Linked DNA regions of Drosophila melanogaster. The protein of the gene in region 2 interacts with the protein of the main gene of each other region in a pairwise test. Each region holds a gene or a part of one and is shown on either strand. Other genes may lie near its edges.

The links.
Region 1: the proteins of Osi18 (region 2) and CG42766 interact in a two-hybrid assay, tested with the Drosophila melanogaster proteins (one large-scale study listed by BioGRID).

The regions. Positions count from the first base shown.
Region 1 is NC_004354.4:15,974,532-15,978,160, reverse strand, and holds CG42766 (uncharacterized protein), read right to left. Parts: upstream 1,294-3,629; 5' UTR 1,179-1,293; coding exon 1,068-1,178; intron 1,007-1,067; coding exon 821-1,006; 3' UTR 739-820; coding exon of another isoform or gene 715-738; 3' UTR 501-714; downstream 1-500. Other genes in the region: Or13a (odorant receptor 13a), read right to left, coding at 1,455-1,529, 1,601-1,789, 1,848-1,955, 2,017-2,116, 2,669-3,100, 3,384-3,629.
Region 2 is NT_033777.3:6,328,401-6,332,336, forward strand, and holds Osi18 (osiris 18), read left to right. Parts: upstream 1-1,847; 5' UTR 1,848-1,950; coding exon 1,951-2,392; intron 2,393-2,684; coding exon 2,685-3,163; 3' UTR 3,164-3,409; downstream 3,410-3,936.

The DNA.
Region 1 (3,629 bases), on a different chromosome or scaffold from region 2:
ATATTAATAGTTACTATTTGTGATCTTATGTTTGTCTGAGAAATTCATTAAAAATAAGAAAATATTTGCCTGGCCTTTTAAATCTACTTTTGGGAATAGTCGCGAATTCTTAAGAATCAAATAAATTGTATATCGTTTTTAGCAGTTTTTAGTCAAATTGAATTAAGTTTTTGTGCAGCTCTGTATCTCTTTTTAATAAATTTTGAAAATTTAAATTTTTAGCCCATTTTTGATTTTTGGCAAAAAATGCAATATTTAAGATGGGTTTTTTGGTTATAACTTGACTAAAAATGGCTATAATGGCCAAAAGAAGTACAGTTATTTTTTAATACGAATTACCAATACTAAGAACCCATATCACTTTTTGACAGGCTTTGTGAAATTAATTTTTGGCCAAATTTTGGCATTTTTTGCAAAATAAATGCACGAAATCGAGTTAGAATGCTGAAGAGAGTATACAGTCGTCGCAAAAAGTTCACACACCTTCATCGTGAAGAATTGAGAATGTACGAAGCAGAACAGTGCTTTATTTGCTACATTTCAGGAATAGCTACATGTTAGGGAAAATTTTGAAAAATATATGTCTAACGCCATGGCGTCCATCATTTAAACAAATAGTTGATCAGTCCCTCAAGGAGCCACGGCAGCCAAGTAATACAGCACATCGCAGTCCAAACAATCAGCGCGGGTCGCAGCCCTGTCCCGTTTTGTACGCTATTTTACATGGATTACAGAAAGCTTAGAATGGTCAAAAAAAAAAAAAAAAAAAAATATTTCAATGAGTATGTATAGAATTTTTTGGAACATATTAAATAAATTTTTATGTTTTAAGTGTCCCAATTACCACGGCTACCAAGGTGTAGATCACCTGTGCCAAAAATCTTAACTTTAAAAGGAAATTGTAGAATTGAAGGCGTCTCGCTTGGCGCTCAGTCGGATTCGTGTAATTTCTTGGCCGGCGCATTATCTTCATGGAAACTTCGGCGAAATCTATCAAATACACAATCTGCAAGTTTGGGATAGTGTATTGAGTCCATCACATGCTGCTCCATCCATTTCTCACTCACCTTGTCAAGGATATCGATAGGGAAGTGTGCTTCGCAACTGGATACGAATACCTTTATGTAGGTGCGCATAACGTAGTAGAGCAAACCACAGACCCACTCGACGGAAGGCATGGCGAAATGATGTAAGTTAGTACAAATGAATTTACAAAACTTATAAAAGATCTCGAAAAGATTGTATGAATATTTGTTCCGTACTGACTGAAAGGTACCGAATGAAAAACGAACCAGATTTAGGGCATTAAATCATGGCCAACTAGGAGCGCTGGCTGTGCAAGGAGAGGGATAACCTCTAGGAGCTCCAATCCCAGCTTCAAAATTTGTCAAAGTTTCGAATTTTGAAAATCAGCAGAAAGCAACATAACCTTAAACAGAGCTCCACGTTTTTATTTAATCTAGTTTCTTTTCGTCGTCGAAGTAAACTGACCGCAATAATGTAAAGTAACTTATCGAGGTACTTAGAATCTGAAAGAGATGAGTTTAATTGTGCAATTGATATATATATATATATATATATTTTTTTTTTGTAGACATACGGCCGTAAAACTCTGCAAGGACAACGTTGAGAACTTGAAAGCCGTAATCCTTACAGGCTGTTGACTGCAGAGGATCATAAACCAAATCTGGTTTCGGATTCGCTTGGTTGTTGGCGTGAACGATTGTATCTCAATGCGATCGGATCCTTCCCACTGGCATTCATACAGAATTTGCGCTGTTAAGGTAGACTGTTTATCGGAAATAGTTTATTAATATATTAAAAAAAAAAACAATCTACATTCTTGCCTGTTTTATCAATGCGTCGCCATTCTCGCAAAGAACGTATAATTGTGAAAGGGCCGAGGATATGTAAATTATGAACTTCACATAGTCTCCAATGAACATATTTTTTCCCTTATGAAGTTTAGAAAGAAAAGCTAGTCATTATATTAAAATATTTACTGCCAATGCTTACAGTAACTATTTGAAAGCCAACCATGCAAATAAGTACGGAGGAAATCATTAGATTGGCCAGTAGAATTGGGTTGAAAAAGTCCTCGAGGCGCTTAGCAAAACTATTGGCAAAATCAAAGTAACATGTAATGGAATCATTGTAATAGAGTCGTTGTAATAGAATCATTGTAATAGAATCGTTGTAATAGAATCGTTGTAATAAAATCATTGTAATAAAATCATTGTAATAAAATCGTTGTAATAGAATCATTGAAATGAATCATTGTAATAAAATCGTTGTAATAGAATCATTGTAATAGAATCGTTGTAATAGAATCATTGTAATGAATCATTGTAATAGAATCATTGTAATAAAATCGTTGTAAAAGAATCATTGAAATGAATCATTGTAATAAAATCGTTGTAATAGAATTATTGTAATAAAATCGTTGTAATAGAATTATTGTAATAGAATCATTGTAATAGAATCGTTGTAAAAGAATCATTGTAACAGTATCGTTGTAATAGAATCATTGTAATAGAATCATTGTAATAGTATCGTTGTGATAGAATATTTGTAATATAATCGTTGTAATAGAATCATTGTAATAGAATCATTGTAATAGGATCATTGTAATAGAATCATTGTAATTGAATATTGGCACGATACCAACCTGATAATATTGTTGTGTTTTTCCACAATACGTTTGAGTCGCTCCAGCTGAATGCTCTCGGCCAATTCCGCATTGGAACCCGCAAATAAACCTGCGATTCGTTGGTGTAGCAAATGAAATTGGCCACAAGTGTAGGTTATGAAGAAGCCAAGAATGGTGTCCTCTGCAAACAAGGTGGTGACCACACAGATTCCCGCGTAGGAGGTGAAGATGTAGGTCATCACATATCGGATCCAACTGCTCTGGGCATCGTACGGAAAGATCATCTTGTAGGGAAACGGCTTGTTCTGTGCATCGAAGGCGGGTCCAAAGAAGATCTCCACCAGCGGCAGGACACAATACATTATGATCAGGCACGCTAGCAAGGATGTCATTATGCTGAAGGTAACCATGCGTCTGCGACACTCGGCGGCAACATTGTTTTTGGAAGAACTGGAACCCATCATATATTTATATATGTAAATAAAGATTTTCTTACAAATACAGTTTGAAGATGGGTATAGTTACTCAAAAGTCTATATTATCTCAAAACCACTTTAAGTGTCCAAAAGCATGCTTAGAAAGCAAAGTTTGCTCTTTTGCACACAACAATGTAGCACACTTTTCTGCGCATTTACTCAAGTAAGATTGCAAACCTCTATAGTTTTCAATGCTCTGCAGTTTAATGCGATGATCATTTAACATCGCTTATAATAACCCTAATGAATCGACTCACTTAGGTATCCAAATTTCGTAGGAAAAGTTCTCAATAAGCTGGCGGAATTTCCTCTGATTGAGGCGAAGATGGATGAGTCGGACAAAGTTCAGGACACCCATAAAGGTGGTGCAACAATTTTCCGTGGTGATAATAATGTCCGAAAGGTTGTTCAGCAAAAAGGCCGTCTGATAGCTGATTGTTATGCCCACAGATGCAATGACGTACCACGCCCACACGATGTAGGCGGTGGCCAATAAGGATTGG
Region 2 (3,936 bases):
AAATGAAAACCAACAAAAAAGGCACAAAAAATACAACAAAGAGCGGAAGCTTAAGTAAGACATTAAGATTCCTGGGCCCAGCCAACTGCACTGACATCAAAACACCGATTGCCAAATTGGCAGCTCATTAAATACCAAAGCAGCCCAAGTACTCCCCCCTGCTCAGCCCTTATAATTTTCTTGGGCTTGTCTAAATTTGGCTCACAATACATTTCCGCTATTCGAAAAATTTTTAATAAAATCAAGTTGCACACTGCAAACACGGTTAATTAATTCAAGTAACATGAGTATTGTTTTAAAAAAAGTTTACCTGCTTTAAGTTCAAGGAAAAATATAATTGGGATGGGAAAGAAGATCATTAAAGGGCCTATTTCCTTTTATTCCTTTATACTCGGTATTCTTGTTTATAATTATACTTACAATTTGAAAATTAGGTGGCACTTTAAATATCAAATAATGACTTATTACTAAAACTAATTTAGGGTTTCTATTGGAAGAAATTAAGCCAATTGGTGTTCACCAGGATATCCTTTTAAGCTCAAATACATATAACAAAAAATTGAGAATTGGTAATTTTCATCTGCAACTACTTTAAAACTACAGCCAGGAAATTATCAATGTTCCGATTGTTTCTCCGATTTACAACATTTACCTTGATCTATTGCAATATCGAACGTTTTAGAAATATATTCACCTAGATCTGAACGTTCAAGAGCATTATTATGTGAATGGGATCTTTCTTTTTCCCATAATTTTAATAATAATAATAATAATTCATCGCGTTATTTGTTGGTACATCAAAACTGCACTGTGAGAGCACTAACATTTAGCACAAATGACTTAAATCTAGAAACTGTGCATAAAAAGGTTAGTAATATTTTTTTAATTGCTTACCGCAGTCCCATTTACGGAGTCTCATGAAACTCTCCGCAGACCATAATGTTTTTTCATTAAGATGCAATTAACTTCAAGGTTCAGTTATTTGCAAATCAATTACAGAAAATCGGTGGTTAACGGCTATTCCATTTTGTGATTTTGGTTACCGATCTATTTTCACTCTATTTAAATCTTCCATACAATTTATTTCGTAATAACGCAGAAGTCATACAGCAGTTTTGATTTAATTTTTGATGCCCTACATCACAGGAGATCCATTAAACAATTAACTTCAAACATATCTCAGCATTCATTCAATTCATTCATTCATTCAATTCTATGCAAATGTTCTTACAATTGGAAGGTAAATATTAATACATATTAAAGAACGAATCAAAGCGACTCGATTCACAATGGAGAATGAAATGAAATGGTATTTCTTCAGCTTCCGTGGTCAGCAAGTGCATTTGACTGCCCCCCGTGGGTACAAACGAGTATCCAATCTGCTGGGTGAGTGGTATTTTAATTGGGTTTCCAGGCACGCACCTCGGATTGCTGGGCACTTGATTTTACGAGCGGATCCCCGGCCGTCGATGCAGAAGAAGCCATCAAATAACTTTCAATTATGTGCGGCCCATTATGGCGCGTATTATGCGGGAAATCGTCGCAATGAGGAATTCCTACTCCTCCCACAAAGAGAACAGCGTGCCCATAAAACGTTCGCCTGACCCAATAGACTAGAGTATCGAAATAGAATCAGAGGCCAGAAGCACAGCTAGGGCCATACCTGCACAAAGGTGAAACTCAGGTGGTCAACTTGCGCTTTCCATGACTTTGACAACAAAGCGAAATGGTCGCTAAAGCTGGAGCCCAAAGCGGTGGGCAGAAAAAGAGCTCCGTGCGTACCTGGCATACGCAATTCAATTAGCAAAGTACCGTCGTATAAAAACCAAGCGGTTCCCATGCGACATTTGCATAACCCGCTGAGTGGCCAACGCGTGCGCACCACCAAACCACCTGACCACCGGACCATCGAACCAGAGTGAGAGTTGAGGACTAACCGTCGTCGAAAGGATGAAGAGCACCGCCGCTTGTCTGATAGTCGCCCTTGCGGCGCTGTCCACCGCCCACTCGGCGCCCACCGAAGGTCAGGTGGCGCCCCAGTCCGCCACGCAACTAGCCCTGGACATGTACCATGGCTGCCTTAAGGACCTCAGTGTTTCCTGCGTGCGTCCCAAGGCCCTGCAGTGGTTCAACTCTGCCCTCCGGCAGCCGGAGGTGCGCATCACCGAGCGCCTGTCGATTGTCCGTACCGCGGAGAAGGTCGAGTCCCGATCCATGAACCCGGAGGAGCGCCTCTTCGACGACATCGACAGCTATCTGGGCAGCCACTCGCTGAGGATCCAGGCTCCGGAGTACTTCCGCACCTCGGAAGCCCGCTCCCTGGTGCCCGACTTCCTCATGTCGAATCCGCTTACTCAGGGAGGATTAGTTCCCCTGGCAGCTGCTAACGAAGGTAAGAACTCAAGATCTAAGTCAGATAAAAAAGTAATGATGACGATCCAAAACGAGCTTACGTTTTTTCAAAATAACATTCAATTCGCAACACAGTGTCAGAAACAAGTGTTGATACTAATTATTGAAATGCCACTCTTGTGTTTAATAGAAATCGTTAAACTAATTTGAATATGACAAATGGCATTATCAAAAATTTCAAAAATGTTTAGGGTTTATGCAAATCAGCATACAAATATTTGGATTTTTACCACTTGTGATAAATCTAATCTGTATTTTTCCTACTTTTCCAGGACGTGGCATGATCCGCAAGGCAGTTCTGCCCTTCCTTCTGGGCCTGAAACTGAAGACCACTGTGCTGGTGCCACTGGCCTTGGGACTCATTGCCCTAAAGACCTGGAAGGCCATGACCTTGGGCCTGCTCTCATTGGTGCTGTCTGGAGCCTTGGTTATTTTCAAGATTGCCAAGCCCAAGATTGTCAACTACGAGGTGGTGCACTATCCCCATCACGTGGATCATGTGGTGCCGCATCACATTGAGCACGTGGTGCCCCACCACATCGAGCACGTGGTGCCCCACCACATCGAGCACATAGTGCCGCATCACATCGATCATCATCTGGAGCACCACATCGATCACCACGTGGATCTGCCCGTGGAGCACATCGAGCACCTGGAGCACCCATCGCCCGCCTGGGATCCTCATGCCTGGGCCCGATCCTCGCAAGAGCCGCAGGATGCCCAGGACTTGGCCTACGCGGGTCAGAAGTGAACATGGGTCTAGAGACCAAAACCCCCCTTACGAAATTCGGCCAAACTGTAACCTTATTTATTTCGTTCTAAGTTAAGTAGCTGAAACACACCGCTCTCGGCGTATTGTTTATTTATTTATTTATTGAGAAGTGTACAAAGCAAAGACCACAAAAAGAACCAAACCCCCAAGGCGTTTTAAAAAGGTACTAAGTGGGAATTAGCTCTGGTGTCCCTTTGTGTAAATATTACTGCAATAAAAACATGCAAAAACGATGTGCCTAATTGAAAACTTTTTTGGAAGTACCAACCCCTCAGCGAAGTGGCTAATTATCCCCAAAACTTTTCTAATGCGAGGAGTTTCACTTTGGGGGTCTGTTGAATTAACCCAGGAGATTCCGGCAAATGAAATGCCACAGAATAATGAGTGCAACTTCTGGCCAAAGTGCCTGATAAAAATGCCAATGAGCACTTTTAGAAAACTCTGCAGAGTAAGGGGAAGCCACAGAGGAATCCTTAATGAAATGCACACATTTTTATATGCCACGTGGAAAAAGATGCTTTGTCCTAGAAATACACTGCGAAAAGAAAGTGTTTCTTTCCTTATTATGTAGCTTTGAAACGTGTACTATGATCAAGATAAGGAATGGATTGCGTTTCCCCATCCTAACGATAGGCTGAACCTTTTCATTAAGTTTTATTATCTGTTTTGATAGAAATGGAAATCCATCTCATTTGTGGGAATGTAAGTATTTCATTTTCTTTACATACTTTCAGGGGATTGGATGCCTGTCG